Caenorhabditis elegans: one gene and its partner. The protein of the gene in region 1 interacts with the protein of each later gene in a pairwise test. Each region holds a gene or a part of one and is shown on either strand. Other genes may lie near its edges.

Evidence for each region.
Region 2: the proteins of dre-1 (region 1) and hpo-9 interact in a two-hybrid assay, tested with the Caenorhabditis elegans proteins (one large-scale study listed by BioGRID).

Annotation. Positions count from the first base shown.
Region 1 is NC_003283.11:6,542,139-6,550,961, forward strand, and holds the start of dre-1 (F-box domain-containing protein), read right to left. Parts: upstream 4,354-8,823; coding exon 4,224-4,353; intron 1,634-4,223; exon of another isoform or gene 1,428-1,633; intron 149-1,427; exon of another isoform or gene 1-148. Other genes in the region: K04A8.20 (Ovule protein), read left to right, coding at 7,310-7,654; Lipase lipl-4, read left to right, coding at 8,061-8,168, 8,376-8,704, 8,748-8,823. UniProt on the Caenorhabditis elegans protein: Substrate recognition component of a SCF (SKP1-CUL1-F-box protein) E3 ubiquitin-protein ligase complex which mediates the ubiquitination and subsequent proteasomal degradation of target proteins including blmp-1.
Region 2 is NC_003283.11:7,232,955-7,241,619, forward strand, and holds hpo-9 (BTB/POZ domain-containing protein 9), read right to left. Parts: upstream 4,177-8,665; 5' UTR 4,173-4,176; coding exon 4,058-4,172; intron 4,009-4,057; coding exon 3,223-4,008; intron 3,175-3,222; coding exon 2,877-3,174; intron 2,659-2,876; coding exon 2,546-2,658; intron 2,499-2,545; coding exon 2,065-2,498; 3' UTR 1,968-2,064; downstream 1-1,967. Other genes in the region: C05C8.5 (Exonuclease domain-containing protein), read right to left, coding at 1-62, 110-681, 730-1,030, 1,088-1,362, 1,407-1,537, 1,583-1,720, 1,772-1,859; Centriolar and ciliogenesis-associated protein hyls-1, read left to right, coding at 4,604-4,700, 4,756-4,926, 4,977-5,131, 5,325-5,557, 6,437-6,605; C05C8.1 (ATP synthase subunit s, mitochondrial), read left to right, coding at 6,817-6,908, 7,781-8,013, 8,065-8,342.

The DNA of each region.
Region 1 (8,823 bases):
TCTCTATGCTTCTACATCTTATTTGGGTCATTGTGTTGGTGGATACGCGCATGTACGTCTGCGCACTCTTCGATTCATTTCGCGCCTCCATCTTTCATGTCCCAATTCGATATCTTCGCAATGAATAACCAAGCAGAGATTGAGGAGAGGACACCGAATTACACAATGAACAGCACACATACACACAATTATGAATGCTTCTCCTTTTTGCGGAGACATTGCTTAATTGCTTAAATCTTCGATGGGAATAGTGGGTGATGATCCTAACCGGTGGCTTACCGGCATTTGAAACAAATTCCAGATGGAAAATAGAGTTGTAGTTGCCTCAGGATATGTTTATCAAATTGGGACACTAGAGATGGAAACGTCTCGATATTTGATATTGGAAGTATCAGGCGGATATAGTTTGAAAATTGGAATTTCAACAATTCGAAAATCGGGGCATCCATTTCACAAGGTTTGCGCGGCGATTCCCTACTAGCAATTCTACAAAATGAGCGAGGGAAGCATGTTCTTTGTTGAAAATTAGTGTTATATGTAGATAAATACTTGTTTTATGAGAAAATAGTCTTCACTTAGTTTGGAACAACTGAAAAATTGCTCAAAAAATTGTTTCAAGCTGCAAATTGCTGAGGAAGAATCCGGCAAATTACTGCAATTTTTATCGGCAATTTGTACCTTCCAGGAACTTGTGGAGCACTTTTTTAAATGTTGTTCCAACTGAAATAACAGGTATTTTCAGATGAAACAAGTATTTTTCTATAATTTATCGCTAAATTTTAACTTAAAAAATCTTGGTAGAACATGCTACACTGACTCATTTTGTAGATGTGCCGGTCTGATTTTTCTGGATTCCAAGTGTAATAAGTTGAGTTTTAACCCATTTCCCAATGCCATTTTTCGGTTTTTTGAGTGAGATTCTTAGCTGAATGAAGGCAGAAATTTCTGAAGATGATGATGATGATGATGACCTAAGGTTCTCATCTAATGCGATAAGAGGAAGATGAATTGAAGAAAAACGGGAGGAATGCAAGGATAACGAGATGGTTGATCGGATAGATGTGTGAGTGCATACGTGGCAAAATCTGGTTATGCCAACATCGTCTGGAAGAAGAAAAAGAAGACATAAGAAGAAGAAGAGAAGAAAAAAAAGTCGTAAAAGTTTATGTTTTGAAGGAAGTAGCAGGGACGGAAGAGGAGGATGTGATGATGTGTCTAATCAATAATAAGACTAGATTGAAATGTGTAATTGAATCGGCCTGATGGGACAATTGTAGGAGGTCAGAAGAAACATTCCGAAAATAGCAATTTATGTGTGGGGGAGGCGACAAAAGGTGCGTAAACATAAAATTTACAAAAGCATCGATGTTTACAGAAGCATATAGGTGTTCTTGTCCTTCATCATTCAATGCCTTTGGCCAGTTTTTGAATGCCCCTAGTCTTCATCGTCATCAACGTCCAACTGTACGACGATGGAGACGATGCCTACACCGAAGAGGACATAGAGTGAGAGAATGTGGCATGTAGCAAAGAGGAAAATGAGGGCAAGAAGCAGTCAGCAATAGCCATGAATTGAAACTGGATTCGGTGTCGTCGGCCCCCTGTATGATGTAGATGGGGCGTGGATCCATTGGGCTAGTGATGATGGTCACGCTGTGGAATTGAGAAAGAAGGGACGAGAAGGAGAACTAACTGTGAAAAAATTGGGGAGAAGCTCAATGGGTTTGCTTTAGGAGCAAGCCGTGCCAGGGTCACTGTTTGTTTAGTTTTTTTGGGTTAGGTTAGATCAAGGGTAGTGCTCCGTTTTTTGAGAATGACAGGGATGAAAATGATGTTGACCAGTTGAACTACCCAACTAGACACATCAGAAATTATGTTAACTCCAACTCGGCAAAACGTCGCAACTTCATAGCAATCTCCTGCAACTTAATAAAAACATTCATATAACTTTGTAAAAAGCTGTTAAGAAGTTGCGAAAACCAACGGGATTGTGAGCGAAATTTAGCTTTACATCTGCTAAAAAATTGCAAAAGTCGTCTGAAAAGCTGCAGAAGTTTGCTTAAAAGCTAAAATGCCTAATGGTTGTTAAGAAGTTGCAAGAGTATGCTACGAAGTTAGGCCATTTTGCCGAGAAACTTTAAAAAAAAATGAATGTGATGGCGTTAAAACTATCAGCTTTCACTGCGAAAAAACTGGGAAAATGGTTTAATATTCACAAAATTCTTTCAATTCTCTTAATACTTTAAAAAATTACTCCTCAAACATTTTTGATTTTTTTTTCTTTTTGGTAATAAAATATCACCTGACAGCAAAGTTTTGCAGCTTCAGGTATTTTTTTTCCAATTTAGAAAAATCTTATACTTGCAGAAAAAATTTGCAAATTGTATTTCTTGCTAACTGTGAGTTTTTAAAAATAAAGTTCCAAAATGTGTGTTTCAAAAACCTGCAAACTTGTTTTAAATCCACATGTACTTTTAAAATATGTTCATGGGGAGTCTCCAACGGAACATTTTTTCAAAGTTTTTTCCCGATTATTGATCAAATCGGAAATAATATTACCAAAAAATCTCGAGTCTTTCTTTTTTTCAACAGGAAAATAATTTGAGAAAAAGTATTTTAATCAGACAGTTTGAAAATTATTTTCCATCGGTCCTGATAAAAGTTTAAAGGGGTTACAAGAGAAAAGAAAAGCACAAAAAATATAAATACGAAAACTATAAAAGCAGCTGACTAAAAATGAAAACATAGATGGGAAAAAAAGAAAAAGCCGGAAGTAGTTTTTCGATTCACTCTGCCAAATTCTCTTCATCACTTTTTTGATGATTCTCTATTTTTTTTTTTGAAATGTCTCATATTACCTCAAAAGCATAGAAATAAAAAGAAAAACACGCAGACAACTCCGAAGTGATCTAACGAAAATCTCGCGTGTGAGTGTATGTCAGTGCCGGCCTGTCCTTTCTCCAACATAACGATATTGTTATTCACAGTTGGCATTTCTTTCGAAGGTGAGGGTACGCAGACAACACGTGGAAGGTGGCCCATGGGAGGGGGAGATGATGAGATGCGCGGAAAATGGTCGTCGGCAACGGCAACAACACATTGACCGGTGGTGGTACCGGGCGTGCACTACTAGAAGACACCACTCACTGACTCGAGAGACGACCTTCTTTCAATATTCTTCATGTATGTTATTGCGATGAACCCGACACGAGATAACAACCCGATGATGAGTGGTAATTTATAGGTTCGGGTCAAGTTTTATAGCTCAAATATGCTTTGAAAAACAAAAAGAAAAAGGACATCAAATTTGAAAAAAAGTGTATTGCCTATGTAATTTTTTGTGCACTCCAGAAAAGGTGAGAATAAATTTGAAATGTGACTTACGTCATTCAATGAAATTTTAGTTTTCTCCGGTTTCCATAAGCAAACGCCACAATAGTTAATCAGGTGACATTGCAGAATTCACAATAAAAAGTGCAAAACACTATGCATCAAAAGGCTCGGGCAAAAAATCCAGCTCCCATGAAAGTATTTCAGCATATTTTTAGAATTCTAAATAAAACCTATATCATTTGAAAGAGTGCCTTGGCAATAGGTTACTTTTAAAAATTGGCAACAAAGGAGCACATTGAATTAGAAAAGGTCATTCTGAAAATTTTTGACAAAAATCTTTGCAAAATTCTTTCAGGCCAAAGAACTGTAATGTTTTGTAATGACATATTTCAAGACTCACATTTAAAAGACATAAGTTTCATCTGGAACTAAAAACGAGCTGAAATATTTTTCTTGCTAGTTGTGCTATTTTAGAGATTTTTTGAACATAGATGTGATTGCCACCTTTTTAGGACATTTTTTAAAAGTAGACAATCGTGGTGGAAATTCGAAAAAGTTTAGTGAGCGCACTCCTGTTACAGTTAGAGAAAAAGTTATTAACGTGGAGAAATTATTTTTTGAGCTCTTACTTTTATGTTCATCATTATCAAATTTGCTTGTTCCTATTTTTAGTCTGATCTTTTTAATTTTTTAAAGTGTCAATAGCAACACAAACATCACGAGAAACGGAAGATTAAATTGGATACATCGGACAGATAGTAGAATTGAATCCACCGGGCGGGTCAACAGAGGTCAGTGTCACACATACACTCTACGATAAGCTTATGACGATCGATGATCGAACACCGCTGTATCCTTCATCACCGACCTAGTTTTCTTCAAATACTTACCGAATTTTCGTGCAGATGAGGATCCTCTTCTCTGAAGTTTTGGAGAAAGATGCGCGGCTCTCGTTGAAACGAGAGAAGGCCGCGATTCCATAAGCACATCGTCACTCGACACTTCTTCTTCCTCCGCCATCAACTGAAATTATTGAAGATTACGGACGTTTCAAGGTGTAAAAATATAATGTGTGTGAAAATATTAAAAATTTAAATTCCAAATAAAAAACTTTAAACTTTAAAAACAATCTCATGAAGCATAGTGAGAGAGAGAGAGAGTTTTTATGATAGTTTTTGTGGGAAATAAAGAGCAAACAAAGCAAAAACTGCAATTTCCCAAAAAATATAATATAAGAGTAAACATTTAGAATTAGTTTTTTAAAAAATTCAATAATTAGAGGAACGGAGTATATCTATTTGAGATTATTGTTAACGTGGAGAGTGTCCCAGATAACTTCTGTAAATTAAGTAGATATTTGGAAATTTTTTCTACAGTTCAAATTATGATATAATCTAAAACTAGACAGTTTTTATTCTGGAAACCTTCAAGGATGACATTCCCTAATTCCCTAAAACATTGCTTATAAGTCACGAGAAAACGAAGAAAAATGAAATGGAAAACCGAGGAACGACGTGGAAATGCATTTATCAGTGTTAAATTCATTGATAAGTTGGGGTCGTCAAATGATGACGAGCCGATAGAAAAAGTAATGAGAAATGGGAGAAAAGTTGGAAGAAAACTTCTTGGGAAAAGAAGGCAAACTCTTTTTTTTTCTACTTGGAGACGTCAGAGGAAGGAAATATGTAGGAGATGATGAGCTCTTCAAAGAAGAAAAGAAGAGAGGAATAAAATATTTGATTCGGTTGTGCAGTCGGCAATGTGGTGTCAGGATTATTACATTCGTTTTCTTATTTTTTAAAAAAATAAGAAAAATATTCAATTTACGGGGGAGTAGATGAGCTTATGGAGCAGGTTTAGAGCATTAGAATTCTCATTTGAAATTGGAATAATTCAGATTTCTAATCATAGTATTTTCGATGCTACGGTACTCGGTCTAAAAATTTCAACGAAAAATTATGAAAAATCGATGATAACTGTGTAGAAAAGAGAGTTTGAATCACAGTACACCTTCTCGCTTTTGACAAAAATTTGTTGTGTCGAGACCGGGCACTTTATTGTTGGCTAAAAATCGTGAAATTTTGCTTATGGGTAATAGCATGGCTTCTGGACACAACTATTTAATGTTTATTGACAATTAAATTCAATAAATGATTTTTATTCAAAACATGTGGTCGCAAAAGGAAAAATATGCTCGTTCAATGAAATCGCTTTAATTGAAATCAATTATGTAATTGATTTTTTTTGTTGCATTTTGCAGCATATTGTCTGGTAAATAGCACAACATTTTTTTGCTGCCACTTCACAAATGGGCCTTATGGTAAGTTTTACGTTTTTCAATTTCAAAAAATATTTTTTTAACCTAGCGTACATTTATTTCAAAATGTTACCACTGATTGTGAGGAAAGGAAAATTTCAGAAAACTCGATAGTCGGCAAAAATTAAAAGGCTTGAGTTATATAGCTTTTCAACAAGCTTCCAAGATTTTTTTTCCAGTTTCAAGAAAAGAGTATCATTTGCTGGAATTATTGTTGGAATAAAAACTCAAACTTTGCCGGGCAAGGAAAATCAGAAAAACTGTAATTAAACTTTGAATACATCAAAACCAGAATCCGAAGGTGTCAAATTCGGTAAAAGTGTCATTCCAAAAAAGATAAATATACATGGAAAACAGGAAAGTATTCAAAACTGTACTTTTTATCGAACCATATAATCTAGAACACTGAACAAGTCTCTCCACCGTTCACCACCGTCAACGTACGGCGAAATGGAAACCGGACGGATTTGGGAAGAAAAAGAGTGAAGAAATGAGAGGGGGAGAAAAAGAGTTTTAAATAATTCACACCACGTTTTCGCGGGTTTTTTGTTCCTTCATCTAAAAGATGCATATCTTCTAAATTGACAGGGGTCAAGCGCGTCTTATGTGTGTTTCTTTCAAATTACAAAAAGTGGGAGTCTCCGGAATTGGAAGAAAAGATGAGTATCAAAAGGGCGCGGCGCGCGGAGCAATCGCGGAACACAACAGTACGTTCGCTTCTTCCTTCCAATACAATTTTATATTTGCATTTCGGACACACGCACGTTTTTTCTCTCTCTTTCTCTTTCTGCTGACCGCACAGATTGTTGTATATCGTCTCTACTATTTTTGGGAGATGCTCGAAGAGCCCACGAGATCGCGATACGCAGAAACAGAGGGTGGTGAACTTTGAAACTCACCGAAACCTCCGATGTTTCAAGAATTGTGACGTAACCACAAGCTAATATTGGAATTATAACCAAAGAGGGTTATCAACTGGGTGAACTGCGCTCTTTAGTTTCAAAATGTTATGTTTTGATTTGAATATTCAAATAAAACTATAAAACCTTTAAAAAAACACTACATTTTCTAAAATATCGGTGTACTGTACCGATTTTTGGAATCAACATAAATGAAAAATCGGATTTAAAATTTAGCGTTTTTTGTACAGATTTCTAAAATGTTCTTATGCTCTGTTAATGCTCCTTTTAAAGAAATGCTTGAAAACTGAGCTTTCACAATTTTGTTAATAAAACTAATTTTTCAAGATTTATATTTTTATTTTTTAGTTGTTCAGTGAAAATTTTAGTAGTCTGAACCTGCAGAATTGCCTGAATTAACTAAAATAACCACATTTTTGGAAAATATGGCAACTTGCCCAATGGAACGCTTAAAAACTCTATAAAATGCTGGCTTGTTATTTGGACTACATAAAAGTAGTTAGAAAATTCTTATGGACGATACTCAGCTTCTAAAATCTTGAATGTTACAACTAATCTTTCAATGACATTTCGAACACAGGTATATTCGAATGTTTGACTCATTGCTCATAATTTTCTTACAAAATCAACCAAATCACGTTTTGAACTCAATGATCATATACACAGTTCAACCTTTGTTGATAATCACTCCACCCGAAAAAAGGTTGCAAAAGCTGATGTAATCGTGCCAGAAGAAGCAATGAATAGTATTTCTTATTCCTCTCATTCATCCATACTTCTCCCCTTCAATTTATTCCTCCGTTCGTCTTCCGTAGTCTGGCTTCTCCCTCATCTTAATACTGTCTTCTCAAGTCATGTCCACATATTTTCCTCGCAAACCCTCAAACGATTTGCACTTCACATACACACACACACACAAATCTTTTGTGCGATGACTACTGAGACTGCGCGACAATTCGACCTACAAACCACTGGAATCCACGAGGGAATCAAAAATCTTGGAATAATATGTATGATGCTCCTGCAATTTCAGTTGTCATCTGTAGAGCTCTTAAAATTATTTATGACTGAAACCGATATTTGATAAAGGCTGTCTGTTATGAATAAAATATCTGAAAACCTACTAGACTCAGCTGTCTAAGTTTAAACAACTTGAGCGACGTGGTTATGTGAATTATTTTCAGAAATTTATATAAAGTGATTCTTCTAGACTTGATAGACAAATTTTCAAAACGATTGGAATTTTTCAGATCTGCACTGACTGCTTTCTGGGCCTAGTTTAGCAAATTGAGTCCCAACTTTATTTTCTGGTTTTTTTTTCAAAAACTAAAAAGAATCAAACAAAAATCTCTCCACTGATACGAAACAAAGTTCAAAATTATCATTTTGTTGTGCTGCAATAGTCTAAAGTTCGCTAGTCAAAAAACAACCAAAACCGAATGTAAACTGATAGGAAAAGAGAAAGAAAATAATAATGTTTTGTGTGCAACATGAGAGAATCAATCAGTGATTTGATGACTGTAATGATCCCATTGTTAATTATTTTATTACTGTCAAATTACTCAAAAAGTGTCGATCTTGAGTTTTATTTAGATACGGTGAGTAATATTTATTTAAAGTTTATTTCTTGTTGGCTGGAAACTCAAATTACGTTTTGTTTGTTTCATTATCAGTTGGAAATAAATTGGCCACTCTTTTTGTTCCGATACATTTATTTCAAACTGAGAAACATCAACTTTAATTTTATACATGTAATTTTTACAATTAATTACTTCGATTCAGATTCAGTAAATTAAGCTTTTCAGCCGGAATTAATAAAATCATGGGGTTACTCAGTTGAGATCTACAACACAACAACAAAAGATGGCTTCATTCTGGAACTTCATAGAATCCCATATGGCCGAGAAGTTCCTACATCGTCAGATGTGAATAATTCCCGTCCTGTTATATTTCTACAGCATGGTTTTCTGTGCTCTAGTTTCGATTGGGTCGCCAATTCACCTCATCAAAGTGCTGGATTTGTGTTCGCTGACGCCGGGTTTGATGTGTGGTTGGGCAATTTTCGTGGCAACACGTACAGCCGGAAACATGTATCGTTGAATCCAGATAAGGACCCGAAATTTTGGGATTGGAGGTGGGAATTATGCCAAATGTTGGAAACTTGTTATAGTTTACAGCTGGGATCAAATATCCGAATACGATTTGCCAGCAATGATTGGAAAGGCTTTAGAAATTAGTGGTCAGGAAAGTTTA
Region 2 (8,665 bases), 690 kb from region 1:
AAGCTACACTGTTGACGAATCCATTATAGGAGGGAAAAGAGGAATGAAGTTTTGAGCGGACCCTGAAATAAATTAGGTACTTAAACTTTATTATTTTTAAATATCTTACTTTTTTGATATGGGAGGACAGTCGAGAATAGCAGTATCGAAAGCACACATCACAGATTTCATTTTATCCTTTTTCAAATAATTCCCGATTGGAGATGCTTTCTTTTCATGATCCACATCAAGTGTATCCTGCCAATGAAAATCTCCTTGGGCACTTATCCCGATCTTCACACAATGCACACATTTCGAAGGAGTCGATACAAATCTGCATCTGCAATTGGCAACTGTGCAAGCAACAACTGTTGGCTGAGAGCAATCAGTACACGGTTTTGATGTGATTTCAGCAGCCGTGACAATTTTCTTCTCAACTGCTCCATTGTTTTTTGCGTATTCAGAATATTTCCATCCGAAGCTCACGTTCCCGAACATCAATCCTTTTTCGAGTTTCAGCTGAGCGAGGCGCATCGCTGCCCACGCATCTTCATACGAGCAATGACCGAATTCTGATTGAATTTGTGCTCCGAGAAAGAGTTCCGTCAAATTTTTGAGACTATTTCGGAATTCTGTGTTGCTATTCGTATAGTTGAGAACATGACCAACGTCGAGACAAAATGGATGTGTCATTTTCATTGCCTGTAATTGGTTTCAATAAAATAGGAAATAAACTGAAAATTCGAATACCTGTAGATCGTGCTCTAATGAGTGTCCAACAAGAATTGCATCCGGCGGTAACAAGCTCTGAATAGCTTTTTGAACATCTCCAAGAGTCGTCGTTACTCCTTCCATCATATCCGGTGTAATTCCAGACCATCGCGTCACATAATCTGTGATTCGACCTTCTGGTTTCACAAGAGTATCTAGAATCGTATTCTCGAATTCATCCACTATCGATATTCGTGTAAGTTCTCGATTCGCAACGTCTGTTTCACACATCTCACAGTCAACAGAAAACATTGGAGATGAAGCTGATATTTTTTTATATCTGAAATTTTAAATAAAACTTAATCTGCACTGAAAACAAGTAATATCGCTAATTTACCCTTGTTTAGTGGGTACAACACCTTCTTCACCAGGAAATGGGTAGCGTCGTTGAGCCAATTGTTCAGTTGTGAGCACAAAATGCGATTTATCGTGTTTTCCGTCTCTATCATAAGTTTTTTGCATTATGACAGACTTTCTCCGAATCTGTTCCTGAATAGTAAGCCGGACTTGCATAATGCTGTTCCAGAACAATCCACGATCACTGACATCTGAATCCAACTCTATCCATTGCTTTTCAAAGAATTCACTAAGAAAGCTTAGATTCGTTGTCGTCTGTAATGATTTCAGCGATTTAGGTTTTCAATGCAATCCCTTACGAAAAAATCGTCATCCACATTGACACGAACCACTAGGTTCTGAAGGACATTTCTATGATGGGATAGACTGACCCATCTGGGCTTTTGGAGTGATGATCCAAATATGCTGAAGTGAATAAACTGAGCCAGAGCTGGAAAACTATGCGAAAATTGTGGATTTTAAAGTGGATTATTACTTTCGCAGTCTAATCGATGGCCATCACCTAGTCGGGACAGCCTTAACTCTAATTTTGGCTTGGATGGATCATCACTACTTGTACTAGGAGACTTGGTTGGTTTTTCAGAGCTTGTTAATCGACGTCTTTTTGTTGCACCTGAAATTAATTTCTTTTCCTGGAATTTATTTTTTTATTTATTCCCCTTACATTGAAATTCATGTTCTGCTTGTTCTGGTGATTTGAATAGGTTTTCTATCTCTGATTTGAGACTTTTCCTCAGTTCTCGCTTCGCCATCCCTCTCAAAAATCTGAAAAAAACGGTTAGAATTTCAAGAATAAAGAAAATAAAAAAATAAATTTATTTTCGGTGTGTGGCGTCCGTGTATGTGGTTTTTTTTCAAAAGAAATTATTAACATTTTTATTCAATAAATTTAATAACTTATTTTTCATCAGACATTTAAGTGAAATAATGCATTATATATATTTCTGTAACCCGGTTTTATTTTATGGCAATTGGAACGTTTGAGGGAGCCTCGAGATGTACAACGTGAAAGACTTCGTTTATGGAATTCCGGGTACCAACAAGTCGAATATACACAACTGGAAGAGGATCAAATATGAGTTCTTGCCATCCATGACATTCTTCATTGGTGCGGTCGACAATCGTAACCCATTCGTCTTGATTCTTCGATACGGCAACATAATACGAGTAGAATCGATCATCACAATTCCATAACAAAATTCGCATTGAAGATATAATGTAGGGCTGAGCAAGTTGAATCATGATGAGACCACTTCCAATTTGATGACACGTGTATCCAGTATCCCAGTCGTAGGATGAGGAATCCCCGTTGATAAGAGCATTCCGACATCGAGAAACTCCTTCAACAACCCGTGCGTGATTTTCTATCGTTGTGATGTTTCGATGAGGAACTGAGAAAATTGAAATTATATTACATTTCCACAGCAAAATGTGATACCTATGACTTTGTGCACAGGTTCGACAGGCATTGTTTCGGTAGAGAACATGGCTTCGATTCGACTTCCTTCCAGTTTACACGACATTGAATTGTTGACTCGGATCAAAATATGCCTGAAATGCAAATTATGGTGAATAATTTTCGAGTTTCACGGGTTTTCTGTAGAAAATTACTATAGGCGCTGTAGTTTTTTTTCGAAAGTTTTAAATGTTTCGGAAAATGAATAAAAAATAGATCAATTAAACTTCGCCCGTTAGTTCCAAAACCGCCGAAATGTTTTTGAATTTCTACTATTAATGCAATGGATTTTACAATAAAATCAATCACTTACCGCACAACAGAATCTGTGAAGAAGAGTCTTTGTGTTCCTCGACAATCATATTCCGAGTAATCAGCAACTAGATTCCAATGAGCATCAACTCGATTATCCATACTAACGTGAACTTGGTATGTAAATGCTTGAACTTCATTTTTCCAGTTAAAATCCATCATAATTGTATTGATAATGAATGGTTTTCCGAGATCAATTTGAAATACACTAATATTCTCGTCATTAGTGTAGCGACTGCTGAGCTCTCGTGACAATGGCTGTGCGTGTGGATAGTGTGGAATTATATTCGTGTCGAGGCCTATAAAATGGAATAGATTAAACAGAAAATAAATAAAATTCAACTCACTTTTGCATCCTCTGAATGGAATCTCGTGTGGTCTTTGTGTTTGAACTTCTATAGCATCCAGAAGAGTATCAGCTGACACCAACCCAGTTGGTCTTACACAATTAAGAAGTTCGGTTTGTGTTATAAGGGGAAGTCTGACCAATTCCAGCAAAACTTTTGATGCTTCTTTCATTGTTGGATTATTCTGATGCCATGAACGTACCGCATTGAAGATCTTCAATTCTAATGCAAAAAATGAATCTCTCGCAAGAAGCTCCTTCAGACTATCTCCTGATAATCGGTTGAAGCTGGGATCTTCGAGAAGCTGATCTGCATGTTTATCAGAATATTGCATGCAATAATCTATAAGATCAGTGAATTGAAAGAAGTATGCAGCATTGAAAATACTACACAAGTTCTCATTCTTCAAAATTTCCTTGAAATATTCGCTTATTGCTGTCATAAGCTGAATTAAATCATAACGATGTGCCAGACTGAGATATTCTAGCAAAATATCCAGTTCCACTCCGGCAAAATCGATTTTCGATGTGTACATGTACCGAAGAACAGCTCGGAAGGCTACTGAATTCGTTTCCTGAAGAGTCACAAGCTGTTGATGGCTTTCTTGAAAACCTGTATAGAGCATAGCTCGAAAAAAGCTACTTCTCACAGCCAAGATCAAACGATGGGCAGCAAATTCAGTTCCATCGTCGAGAACAAGAGTTACATCGGAGTGGTCTGTTGAAGTGAAAATCTCATCGAAACTTTGTGAAAGCTCATCAAGATGTTGTACAACAGATTTGTTAACTGAAATAATAGCTAATTTTGGTCAATTTTTCTGCTTTTAGAGACTTACCGCTATTCACCGCATTAAAATTATTGGAAATGGCGGCGGATTCTGTTCTCATAGTTTCGACAATTCCTCGTCCATCTTCTTGAATCGGCCGCCCAAAAGCATGGTTATCGCTCATGTACCTGAAAACCCGTCATTATCATTAATTATTGAATTTTAATAAAAAAGTTATTTTAAATTTAATTTTTCGGGATAAAATTAGAAAATTCGGAAAAGTTTTTAACAAGGAGAATGATGGGCGGAGTCATGTTTGGCAATCTGGGCGCACTGTTTTGCAATGGCACCGCGCGCGCTATTTTTTTAAGATTTGAACCTGGCGCGCTTTCTGGCGTTCAATAGAGCACGTTTGCTTTTTTGTTTTTTATTTGTTTTTTTTTTGCACGAACAATATTGTTTGTTGTTACAGAAAAACCCCACCATCTTGTGACTGATCAGATCATTGTGACAATCTCAAAAATATTTTCAAAACGTTACGGGTAGTTTAACGTGTACGTCATTTCCTCCTTGTTCATAAAACACGCTTCATCGAGCATTTGGCTTCAAGGAAAAATGGCAAATTTTACCACTGAAAACGAGCTCGAAGATATTCTTCATCAAATGGGTCACCATATACATGACAAAAACCAATTTGCAACTTTCAAGAATGGTTAGTTTTTTTTCCTAAAATATTTAAATCCAATATAAAAGATCGTATTCTTCAGAAATTGATAATCTACTCGACCGAGAGCTTTGTCTGTCAGATGCCGATGAAGACGTTATGAATGAATCTCTATTTGCTTCATTATCAGTTGATCCAGCCGCTCAATTCATACGACAAGAACGAAATTTTCCAACCGAAAATCTGAATATTCAGTCCCCAATTGTTTCTAGAAGTGAGTTAAGTTTTAAGATTTTCTTCAATTAATCTGTGATTTTTTTTCAGAAAGACAAGGAAAACGGTTTATCTACGAAAATGTAGAGTTACAAAGCGATTTCGACGATGAAAGCTCAAACGAGTATCCTGAGAGAAACCTTCTGGTCGATCGAGCGTGGCGAAGCATACATCGTGCAATGGAAACATGCAATGGTGCCACAGAGGTTTTGACTTTTTCGTTTTTTTTTTTGTTGAAAAATGCTGACTTCCATTCAAGATTTTTTCCATAGATTAAGCTGGAAAATGTTCAAAAAGTCTAAAAATAATAAAATTGAATCCTGTGAGCCAACCGAACGTCAAGATTCAGATGTTTGTGCATTTTATTTTATAAAAAATAAGTTTTAAATATTTTTTCAGACTCTTAAATCAATATCACTGGATGGCAGCGACATACAAGAACGATCAAGTGTGGATGATGAGGAAAATATCGCTGAATCAGTTTCCGTGGGGTTAAGCACTGAAACTGAACAATCAGAGCTTCAAAAATCTTCACGACCGGAAAAAGAAGTTTGGACTCGGAATGTGTTGTCACTTGAACCAGGAAGAGCACCAAAAAAATATGATCCGGTCACAAGATATCATTTCTACAAGTAATTCATTTTATTCAGTTTGAGAGTGTCGTGACTGTGTAGTAGCGATGGAAGAACGTTTTATTTATAATTTTGATTTAGAAAAAATTAAAATACTTTAAAAAGTATTGGCATTATTGAAAAAATCAAAGTATCAAAAATGCCAATTTTTGAAAAGAAAGAAAATATTGGAAAAAAAAAGTTTTCGAAATAATTAAAATATTTCCAACAATATAGACTGAATGAAATAGAATAAAAATCAAATATTTTGATAAAATCGTATTTCCAAAAAAAAAAAGATTAAAAAGTTTTTTTTTACATTTTCAAAAATATGCCAATTTTTAAAAAATCTAAAAAAAGTAAAAAAAAATTAAAATTTGGAAAAAAAACAAAAATATGTTTTAAAAAATGGATAAATTTGTGGAAAATTCAAATCTTTAAAAAATTATATACATTTTTGAAAAAATCAAAATATTTTCAAAAAATAATAATAATAATAATAATAATTTATTACGCTCGCTGGGAGACGTGAAGGAATACAGAATACAAAAGTTATCATTGTTCGCTTGAACTAGAATTGGTGCAGTCGGGCAATTGTTTCCATTCCATTAGAATGTTGTCCTTGTCCTTGCGTTGTCCTTGCGTAGACTCCCCCATAGTGGGCGAGCGATTCTCGAGTGAAAATAATCACGGAATAAAAAATATGAATTTTTGAAAAACAAAAAAATATTAAGAAAGTATATAAATTTCTAAAAAAAACAATATTTTTTGCAATATTTTTTTAAAACGGTAACGCGACCAATTTTCGAAGTGATTTTGCACTTAAAATTTTTTTTTTGCAAAATTATACTGAAAAAAGTCTTCAACATTTATTTTTATAACATTTTTGTTTTCTTGCAGATCTGAATGGGATCGTCATCCGGCTCCAGGTGAAATGCGTCGTTTATCACTTCGTTGGAAAGTTCGAGAATTCATGTTACGTCATGATGTTCCACGATTGAATGAAAATAATGAAGATTGGAAGGCTAATCACGATAAGGACTGGTCACCTCGCCCATATATAGATTAATTTCTTTAAAAAGTGTTATATATTTATGAAAATCGTTTTGAAATCTCAAAATTCTTTTGGCAATAATCTTCTGTGTAAAATGAATATGATCTCTGTTTTATAATGTGTTGATTTTTTTATTTGAAGTCGATTCCCTGATTTTTTATGGGACAATGTATTTTTTTCTTGAATTGATAATAATTTATTCAACAAAAAATTATATGAAATTCAGATGAGCATACGTAAAATACAAGAAAAGTTTACCCAAGCCCTGGGACAACACAATATTCCCGGACTCCGTTGGGTTCTGGAGGGATTCAACAAGTTGGTTTTTTTCTAATATTATTAAAATAAAAACGAAAAATGCCAAAAATGGATCACGTTGAAATTTTAGAATAGTCGCGAATTTACAGACTCAAAAATACGGTTTCAAAAAAAGCGCCTACAATTTTTGCCATTTTAGAAAATAATTATTTTTTCTCTCATTAACATTTTACAATACAATACAATAACAAATTTAATTTCAAAACGCTTTTTTTTGTTAATTTTTGAAACATTTTTTCGAAATTTCATTTTACGGAAGAACCAAAAAATCAAAAATGTTCGCTTTTCAGATTTTCACTGAGAATAAAAATATACAAAAACTGTAAAAATTGCCAACTAATTTTCGTGTCAAGACCAGGCACAACTGTTTCGGGTCAAAAACTAAAAATTTCAAAATTGTTTTTTTTGCGTTTTAAACCCTTTTTCCAAGTTCAGTATCCGGTTACAGCAGTACTTGACTAATTTCGCGAAAATTTGGCACTTCAGTTTAAAGGGACATGCTATTTTTCTGAGCGGGTCTAGCCGATACAGGTGCCATCAGGCATTTTTGGGTTTGATCTATAATATAAATTAAAGTTTTAGGCCGCCAGGATTTATAATAAAAGATGTAGCACCTAGAGTCACTTTTCTGCAAACAGAATATAATTGTTCAAAAATAAGTCCCCGAATATAGATAAATTGCTAATAAAATTGGAAAATGACCGTAATGTTCAGAATAGTGTGATTTGATTTTTTGGTTTAAAAACTGAACTAATCGCTTTCGGTTTATCGCATTCTTTTCTCGTTTTCTGCAAAAATTTGCAAAAGTACAAAACCGAAGAACCGTGGCTGAATGCACTTATTAAGACCAGATTAACACAGATCTCTTGCAGCTATGATGTTCAAAGAGTGAAGGAGGTGGGTGCAGATCGTGCTGCAGCTGAATGGATTGTGAGATGTGGTGGAAGTATCAAGTTCAATCAGATCGCTGAGACGTTTGAGGATTATAATTGTTTGGTGAAAAGAACTGCACAATTGGATCCGAGACTTTCACAGGATAATGTCACTCTGGAAACAATCAGAGCTGTCAATGCAAGTGTTACTGGATTTGGTTGTCGTCATTTTGGTAAATTATTTATAATTTGTTGCAAAGAAAACGAATAAATATTTATTTCAGAAGGCTTGACAGGAATCAAAAGTGTCTACTTCATCAAATGTAAGAATCTTCATGATTTTGGTCTTGAATACATGGGAAATCATGTAGGAGGTCACCTGAAAACTCTTCACATTGAAGAATGCCGTCGTATCACCGAATTCGGATTGGAGCATCTAACCAAATTCTCGGCTCTTGATAAGCTTGTACTTCGCAATTTAAAGAGTGTTCACGGGAAGGAGAAAGTTCAGGAGAAGCTTCGTGGAGCACTTCCGAAGACTGATATTCAATTTGAAGTCTAATTGAAAAACAGTGATTTTGTATGTATGTATAATAGTTTTTGGTAGACAGAATAAAAACTGATAGACCGGTTGAAATTGTTTTCCATCACACAAATGGCAATTAAAAAAGTGTACTAGTTGAAGTTTTACGGAAACACAAAATTCTGAGAATGCGTATTGGGCAACATATTTGACGCGCAAAATATCTCGTAGCGGAAACTAAATACAGTAAGTCTTTAAATGGCTACTGTAGCGCTGTGTGCCGATTCTGTGGTTTTCGCTACGAAATATTTACGGAAATCTTGTTGAACAGATTTTTTATATATTTTGGCGTATAGGGAACT